Linked DNA regions of Cricetulus griseus. The protein of the gene in region 1 purifies or fractionates together with the protein of each later gene. This does not show direct contact. Links are inferred from orthologs where the notes say so. Each region holds a gene or a part of one and is shown on either strand. Other genes may lie near its edges.

What was found. Proteins that work in one complex are often made in the same cells at the same time.
Region 2: the proteins of Zbtb18 (region 1) and Ctbp1 purify together in Homo sapiens (affinity purification with mass spectrometry; 3 studies listed by BioGRID and IntAct, counting the BioPlex papers as one, with this or other methods). This does not show direct contact. The link is inferred for Cricetulus griseus from reciprocal best matches to the Homo sapiens genes ZBTB18 and CTBP1.

Annotation. Positions count from the first base shown.
Region 1 is NC_048598.1:16,377,850-16,382,238, forward strand, and holds the start of Zbtb18 (zinc finger and BTB domain-containing protein 18), read right to left. Parts: upstream 2,916-4,389; 5' UTR 1,072-2,915; coding exon 1,059-1,071; intron 1,046-1,058; exon of another isoform or gene 1-1,045.
Region 2 is NW_023276807.1:102,309,948-102,313,677, reverse strand, and holds part of Ctbp1 (C-terminal-binding protein 1), read left to right. Parts: intron 1-1,534; coding exon 1,535-1,689; intron 1,690-3,541; exon of another isoform or gene 3,542-3,730. UniProt on the Homo sapiens protein: Corepressor targeting diverse transcription regulators such as GLIS2 or BCL6. Has dehydrogenase activity. Involved in controlling the equilibrium between tubular and stacked structures in the Golgi complex.

The sequences.
Region 1 (4,389 bases):
TCCCTCCTTGTCCTCACCATGCTGAGACAGTGAAACTCTCATCCTAACCCCAGATACCTTCTGGAAGACACCACCACTAGAATGAACCAAGATTTACAATACAATCACTTTAAGTGCCCCACAGCTAACATCAATCCCAACCCTGGAGAGGGCTAAAAATAAAGACTGGAGGCCAGCTCACAAGGTAGCCGTGATCAAATTAGGAGGCTGAGAGGACAGAGAGGGACGAAGAAGGAAGCTTATAAACATCTGATCCAGCTGACTGTGGCCATATGGCAGCTGCTGCCCAGATAAAGAGATTAAGAATAGAGGAGTGCGATTACAGCTGTCTGGCCAATTCAGGCAGCTCGAATCTACAAGTTCTAAATTAGTCGCTAACGCAGAAACTCCTGCAAATAATTATTGTTACGCTGAAATAAAAGATCTCTTAAATATATATCTGAAAGAGAAATGAGGAAACTGGTCAAACTATTCTCCTAGGGATAAAAGTTGTCTTTCTTTTTCTTCTCCCCTCTTCTTAAAAAACAAAAACAAAAAAATCCCAACAACAAAAACCCTCCGGTTTCAAAAGCACTACAGCTGTATGCTGCTTTCAGTAATGCTTGCCGAATGTTTTGGAGAATAAAGTTTCACAGTGGAATTAATTACACAACAACCTAGCTTCTTAACCAGAATAATCTTCTCATATAAGTTTGAAAGCTGGATTCCAGACAGTTTACTGTTTCTGCCCCCCTAAAGCAAAAGGAATCTAAACAGCAGTGAACAACAAAAGGCATCTTAATCCAAAGTGATCTCAAAAAGCCATATTCCAAAGCCTTTCTTACCATCTGAAAACTTGAAATATTTCTGTGTATTAAAGTTATTTACTTGCTCAAAGAAAAGAAATAAAAATTCAAACCAAGCAAGCCCAAGACTTCCAGCTCAAGACCATCACTTCATGCTCAATTTCACACATTATTCATAAAGTGGATTACAAAAGTAATGTGATGTTTTTTTAAAAAAATTAAATAAAACACCCAAACAGAAAGATGCTCAATCTAATCTCTTGCTACTCCTACCTTTAGGACACATAAACTTGATTAAGTCCTTCCCTCGGAGTCTTGCTGGCTCCAGGTCTGTTACATCGGTGGAAAAAAAGCAGACTAAGAGAGACAGATGCAAAGTGGAGATGATGTTGGAGAGGAATGAGATACCTTCTCCACCACAGATCCGCACACACTAGCTCCCTGTCTGTGTGTTAGAATAAAAGGCTGAGGGATGGCAGGCTGTCAGCTGCTCTGACATCATGTTCAGATGGAAATGCTACCTCCAGCTGTGCTCCTTTAATGCCATATGCTACTCCTCTACACTCCTGCCACCAGCTTTTTCTTAGGAGAACTTTTCTCTTCTGTTAGTATAAACAAAATACTTCAAAGTCTTCCTTTTTTTCCCCCCAAACTTTCTAACAGAAGAAATTGAAAAACTCAGCATATGGAGTCCTACTGTATTTATGGAATCGCAACACTTCTGCCTCAAGTTGGTGGACTGGCTTACATATGACAGCACACTCAGGCTCGGTGCTATTCAGGAAACCCACATTCACTTTTATTCAACTCCAACGTCTAGTTTCAAAGGCAGCTTAGGGATATTTTTAAACCAACCCATTTGACATCTCCAGCCCCACTTCGGCATTATTACAGCATGTTTTTTTTTTTCCTCCCCCCGCGGAGATAATGGTAGACATCTCCAAAATGTTGGCAGACTTATTAAGAGCTATTACTTCAGCGTGGTTCACCTTATTATTTCACTCTTACTTAGCAACTTATCTGCAACTACCTCCCAGGAAAATAATTCACACTGCCACCGTGAATGCAGATTTCCATTCTCAGCGTCAACAAACTGAAACTGCACTTTGTGAAATCCTGGAAAGTATTTCGGTTCAATAAAGGCAAATTAATAAACCGACACAACCTGCTGCAGTCACTTAGGATGACTGTTTGGCCACATCTCATGTTTCTGCTCAGAAAAAGGCGTCACTTTGTCTTGCCCTTCTTCCCTATCCCTTTGGGCTAAAGGGTTGTGATCAGCAGGAGTGTAGACTTTGGGAACTTTCTTGGCTGGAGTTTGTGGGTCTTAGTTTCTAATGGCTGATGAAATGCTAAGGTAACCCGGGCTGGGCCGCCCGGTTCCCTGCAAGGTGCTGCGACAACTATGAATGTCAGACACATCTATCTCTACAGACTCTTGGGAGGTCGAGGAGTAGAAAAAAGAAACTGGGGCCTGAGGCGCAAACGTCCCAACCCGGGCGACAGCCACTCTTAGGCTCGCCTTAGAAAACGGAGGCAGGGAGCTAGAGAACAAAACCCCAACTCTGTCCTGCCCTCGCTCACGAGTCACTAAGAAACCTAACTTTCTCTAACTTCGCGGTGAATGACATAATTCTGAACTCGTTCTGGAGGCACACTGGGCAGACACATTACTTCCCTGCTACACACACCCTCTTCTCCGCGGATGCCCTCGCCCCATTCCAATATATCCGACGTTAATCACCCCGTTTACTCACTGGGGTGATGGTGGGGGTGAGTGACAGTTTAATGAGCCCCAAGGACCGCAATGGCCCGGAGACATCCCGTCCAAGTCTCGCTACCGCGGACCCGCGGGGGCTCTGTGAGGTTTGGGGTTTTGTTTCTCAGAGGTGGGGGCAGGGTGCCCCGGGTGTGTTTGAGGTTTTGGGGTGGAGGGGGGGGATGCAAATCTTCGCGCAGTTCGCCGTGCATAAAGCACTTGGGGAAAGAGGAAGGGTGAAACCACTGGGAAGGAGGTGCAGGGCAGAGAGCCGGTGCAGCAGGAAAACACCTTCCACAACGGCCGAGAAAACAGCCCCGGGTCGCGGCAACAACAAAAGAAAAGTCGCAAGAAGCGGCGCGGCGACCGCTCCCCGCCGCCGCCGCCGCCGCGCGCCAGCCCCGGGCCTCCCGGCAACCGCAACCCGGGCGCCGCGCCCTCCCCCCCGGCCCTGCAGCTGCACCGGCCCCGGAGCCGCGGCCGTCCCGGGCGCTGCAGCTGCGGCGGCCCGGACCCCTCCCCGCCCGCTCGCCCGCCCGCCCGCCGCCCTCCGCACGGGAGGCGCCGCCGCAGTGCACCGGCCGCCCCGCGCCGCAGCTGCCGGGGAGCGCGGCCAGGCGAGGCGAGGCGAGGCGAGCCCGCACCGCACCGCACCGCACCGCCGCCGCCCCCTCCGCCGCACTAACTAACTCCCCCGGCGGGACCCACGGCCGGCAGCGGGGCAGGGCGGGGCGGGGACTCACACGGAGCGGCCGAGTCGCCGCGTCCCCGCCGCCGTCCTCCTCCTCCTCCTCCTCTGCCGCCGCCGCTGGACTTGTGGGCGTCCTCCGCCGGCCCCCGCCCGCCGCCGGCCCCGGCCCGGGCCCGCGCGCCCCCGCCGCCCCCGCCCGCGTGGCAGCCTGAGGCGCGCCGCCGAGCCACGGGCCACTCTTTAACGGCCATCAGGCAGCCCCAGCGCGGCCGCAGCCTGCCAGACGTACGGGCGCGGAGCGGGCGGCGGGCGGGCGGCGGGCGCGGCGGGCGGGCGAGCGCGGCGCCGGGCCGGCGGCGGGCGGGGCGGGCGGACGACGCACACGCACGCACGCCGCGGCGCGCGGCCCAGATGTGGCCCCGCCCGGCCGGGCCGCCCCGCGCCGGCCGCTCGGCGATTGAGCGAAAGCGGCGGGCCCCGGTCGCTGGCCCGCCCTCGGTCGCAGCGTTGCCCAATAGAAGAGCGGCGTGACGGGGTGGGCGGAGGGGCGGCGGGACTGACGGGGAAGCTCGGCCAATGGCAGTGGCGGGTAGGAGCTGCCGCCCGCGCGCGCCAATCGCAGGGGGCGACTGTTGGGTGGGCGTGGCCTCTTCGAGGGGGAGGCGGAGTCCGCGGGCCGCGGCGGCGGCGGCGGCGCTGGCGCTGGCGGCGGCGGCGGCAGCGGCGCCCCTCTGGGTGACTTGGCCGTGAGAAAGTGAAAGGAGCCCGCAGGCGGCGGCGACAGCTGCGCGGGGAGGGGCCTGTTTCCAGGCTGGAGACGAGCGCGTTCTGGGGGTGTGGAGTGAGAGAGTGAGTCTGCGTGCACCGCGACGGCCTCGAGTGTACTTTTACACGGGGCAGGTGTCCCGGGGAGGCAGTGCGCGCGGGGCCGCAGCTGGCCGGGGCCGGCCTGGGGCGGCTGGGTCTGGCCCTCCTGCGGTGCTCGCTTGGGCCGCGTCCCGGGGACGCGCCGCGCCGCGCCGCCTCCGGCCTGTGGTGTCGGCCGCCAGGTGCACGGGGGCCGCCAGCTCGGAGCGGCTGCGAGAGGCGCTTTTTCCCAGCGTCCTTCGTGCAAGTTGCAGCTGCGTTTCTCCTCCCGATCCCCGCGTCCCGTC
Region 2 (3,730 bases), on another chromosome or scaffold:
TGTGAGAAAAGCCACTTTGCAAGTCCGAGTTGGAGGACAAGTGGATTGTTGTTTTTCCACCTCTGCTGTCTGGTGACAGGGGTAGCTAGGGATGTGATCCATAGGGGTCAAGGAAGGAAGTATGCAAATGCCAAGCCTGTGACCTTGAAGTCTGGACCATCAAGTCTTCGTACCTTTACTTTTACAGTTTATGAAGGACTGGTGTGTCCTTCATATGTGTGTCTTCTCATAGTCACATTGACTCTGGGGAAGGGCTGTGTATAGCAACACCTCTGTTCCACAGCTGGAGTCCTTGTGCTTAGTGTTGTCTATCAGGCAGCTCCATTATGGGTGGTCACTGAGACCTGTGTCACAGTCCAGGTATCCAGTTCCAGACTGGAAGCACTCAGTGATTTTTCACCAGCCCTGTTAAACATAGGTGTGACAATCCAAAGGACATTGCTTTTCTGTGACATGTGTTCTCTGAGGCACTTACTTGGCACTGGCAGCTTGGGGCAGCCTCTGCACCTGGAGGCAAGAAAGGTGACTGTGAACTCTACTGCAGCTGTTGCACGGTTACCTTTGGCCTGCTCAGTGGGAGACTGTGGTGACTTGTTTCTTGCCTTTACCCCCCCCCCCCCACTGTGCCTACTCCATGGTCCATACTCCTGGCTAACTCTTTTGGAGGCCCTGGGGCTGGACAAGGTCCTGCCTGGTGTTGTCTGCTACTGTGGAGCTACCTTTGGTCTCCATGAGGTGTCTGCTGCCCTGCCCAAGGTGGCTATAGTACCTGGGACTACTGTGTTGGCTGTGTACTTGTGAAGCCCTTGGTACTGTACTTGGCCCCATGTGGGGTCTAGTTTTTTAGGGTGTCGTGTTAGGAGCAAGCTGATTTCATATCCATAAAGGCTTTTGTGGAGCTAGGAAACAGACCCAGACCTCACACTCACTGGGCAAGTGCTCTTTGGAGTTGCACTCCAGGCCTAAGGTTCTTTCTCACCTTGGTCTGGGAGGTGGGTTCTGAGAGTGTGGTAGCCCTTTTTTCCTGTCGCAGTTTTTTGGCCCTTGAAATCTACCACTAGGAATGATACCAGGTTGGGTCACATGCTAAAATCACTGTGGTCTCTCTGTGGGGTTCTGGGCAGTTACACAGTGGTTTTTAGGCAGCAAAGAGTGAACAGGCACTTTCCTGAATCATATTCTTTTGTGTCTGCACATTTTTGTGTTGACAAGATAGCTTACAGCTGTAGGATGCCAGGGCTGAGGTGCCTCCTACCTCCTCTGTACCCTTGTCCCCTATATCCCCACTAGGGTCTCCAAAGATTTCAGGTCCTGCGCCCTTGAGGTCTGAGTCCACTCAGTCATCAGTGAAATGTTGCAAACTCCTATTTCCTTCTTCCTGGTTTTAATTTGCTTTCTACAAAGCCTTGTGTAGCCAGAGGCTGAGTGCAGTAAGTTCTCAGGGCTGATTTCCCCAGCCCTAGTGGGTAATACAGTTCTCAGATCATAGACTAGAGCTGCTGAGGGCATTAAGTGGTCTGCTCCTTTCTTGCAGGCGTCCGACCTCCCATCATGAACGGGCCCTTGCACCCCCGGCCCCTGGTGGCGCTGCTGGATGGCCGGGACTGCACAGTGGAGATGCCTATCCTGAAGGATGTGGCCACAGTAGCCTTCTGTGATGCACAGTCCACACAGGAGATCCATGAGAAGGTAGTGTCTTAAGTTGGCCAAGTTTCATGGGGTACAGGGGGGCTCCAGAGCATGGGCCATGCAACCTCAGGCTGCAATCTCAGTCAGCACACAGCACTAGTCATGCTCCTTGGTCTCTGGCAACAGTAGGTCTAAATACCACAAGGTCTTGTATGGCCTGTCACTGTGCCTGGCCTTGTCAGGAGGTAAATATTTCTTACTCTGTATTTTCTTGGTTTCTTACATCACAGCCAGTTATTAGAAGAAGTGGAACTGTGGGCATCTGCCAGTGATTATGCTGGATGCTACCTGGAATATAGCAGGTCACAGTATCTTTACCCACAGTACCTACGGAGAGCTTGTTGTTGGGTGGTTAGCAGCTCTGAGCAGCTTCCGTGATTCATGTTTGCTCAGATCTGTTGGGTTCTTCCATGACCTGGAGTGTGCTCATCTGGTTTCTGGTTGTGTCATAGCCAATTCAGACTTTGCACTGGAGACAGCTTGAAAACATTCTTTACCACAAATCTAAAAAACCTTCAGGAGCTGACAAGGTAGAACCAGTCAGGGATTGCAACCATGAGCGACCTGGCATCTGCTCTTATGGACAGTCTGGTTGGGTAGCCTGGAGATTTGCTCCTCTGGGAGGAGTGGTGAGCTCTGGTCTTGGTGGCATCATGGCCTTGGAGGGTGAGCCTGTTGGCCCATTGCAGATGTTGCCTCAGACCCAGAGAGCAGTGAAACCCGTATCTGAATGTACCTTCACCTAGCCTATTACCCAGCCTTGTAAGTCTGCCAGGCATGGGATTTAGCATATAGTGGACCTATAGCCCTGCTCCCCAGGGGCTGTAGAGTCATCTGGGACAGTCATTCCAGCCTGGCCTCAGTATGTGTCTATAGTCTTTGGGCACTCACTCAGCTATAAGGAGGCAAGGCTCTGTGAGGAGAAGAGAGCTTCTCACCAGCAGGAACCCCAGTTTGACTGTGGGGTGGGCTGCCTTCAGGCAAGAAAGAGACAGTGCTATCTTGGGGTTCATGTAGCAGGTATGGGGGAGCAATACAAGACACAGAGCTGTACTATAGTAAAGCTAAAAGTGAGAATCACTCCTTTGGGCATAGTAAGTAGTAGGGAGGAAGGGATCAGAAGTCCTGATTCTTATGCCTTGTGGTGAGAGTGGGGAATGGGAGGAGCAAGGAGTGGGCAAGGTAATAGAATCCATAACTAAAGAGGGAAGGAACTAGATGCAAAAGCTGGAGACACTGTGGTGGAAGATTTCCCCAGACAATAGGAAACTGTGTTAGTGAAGGGCCTTGAGCCTGTGGCATGGCATGGCATGGCATGGACAGTAGTCAGTGGCACTCTGTATTGATATACAACCTTTCAGCATTCTAGCAGCCTTTGTAGCAGACATGACATGCACTATCATCATCATCTGTATTTGAAGGTATGGCAGCTTGATTCACAGTAGCCCAAATTGGGCAACCACCAGTACCCTTTGGTGATATGGCTGTGAAGATTGTATCCTGCCACAGATCCTGCCTGACTCAGGAAAGGGGTGACCTATAGGCACACAGCACCTTGGGTGTATGTCACCTTCCCCCTTTTTGCTGGCCGGCTGGAAATCTGATATGATGGCTGAAGCCTTGGGTAGGTACCTTGTACTATAAGAGGGAAGCCATATACTGGTAATGGTATAGCTACAAGGCAAGAGTCTAGTACCCAAATAACTATGAAGATGTAACTGAACGTGTGGGACACCTGTCTCTAGATGTGGGAAGTAAGTAACTGTCTTATATATTCTTGTTATGTGGGAATTTCCACCTTTTAGAGCAAGAAGTCCTCACAACTGGCTGAGTGTCACTGTCTACATTGCAGATGAGAATGTTACACTATCAATGAAGAACATGATGAAGAAAACTTCCCAGAGACCTTGGCTCTTCTGCCATGGACCCAGCAGGACTATGAGAGGGGATAGGAGACGCCCACTGGGTGTGGGAAAGTCACCTTGTAGCAGGAATCTCAAAGCACCCCTGGGCTGGGTGCTGTACAACTTCTCAGCCAAAT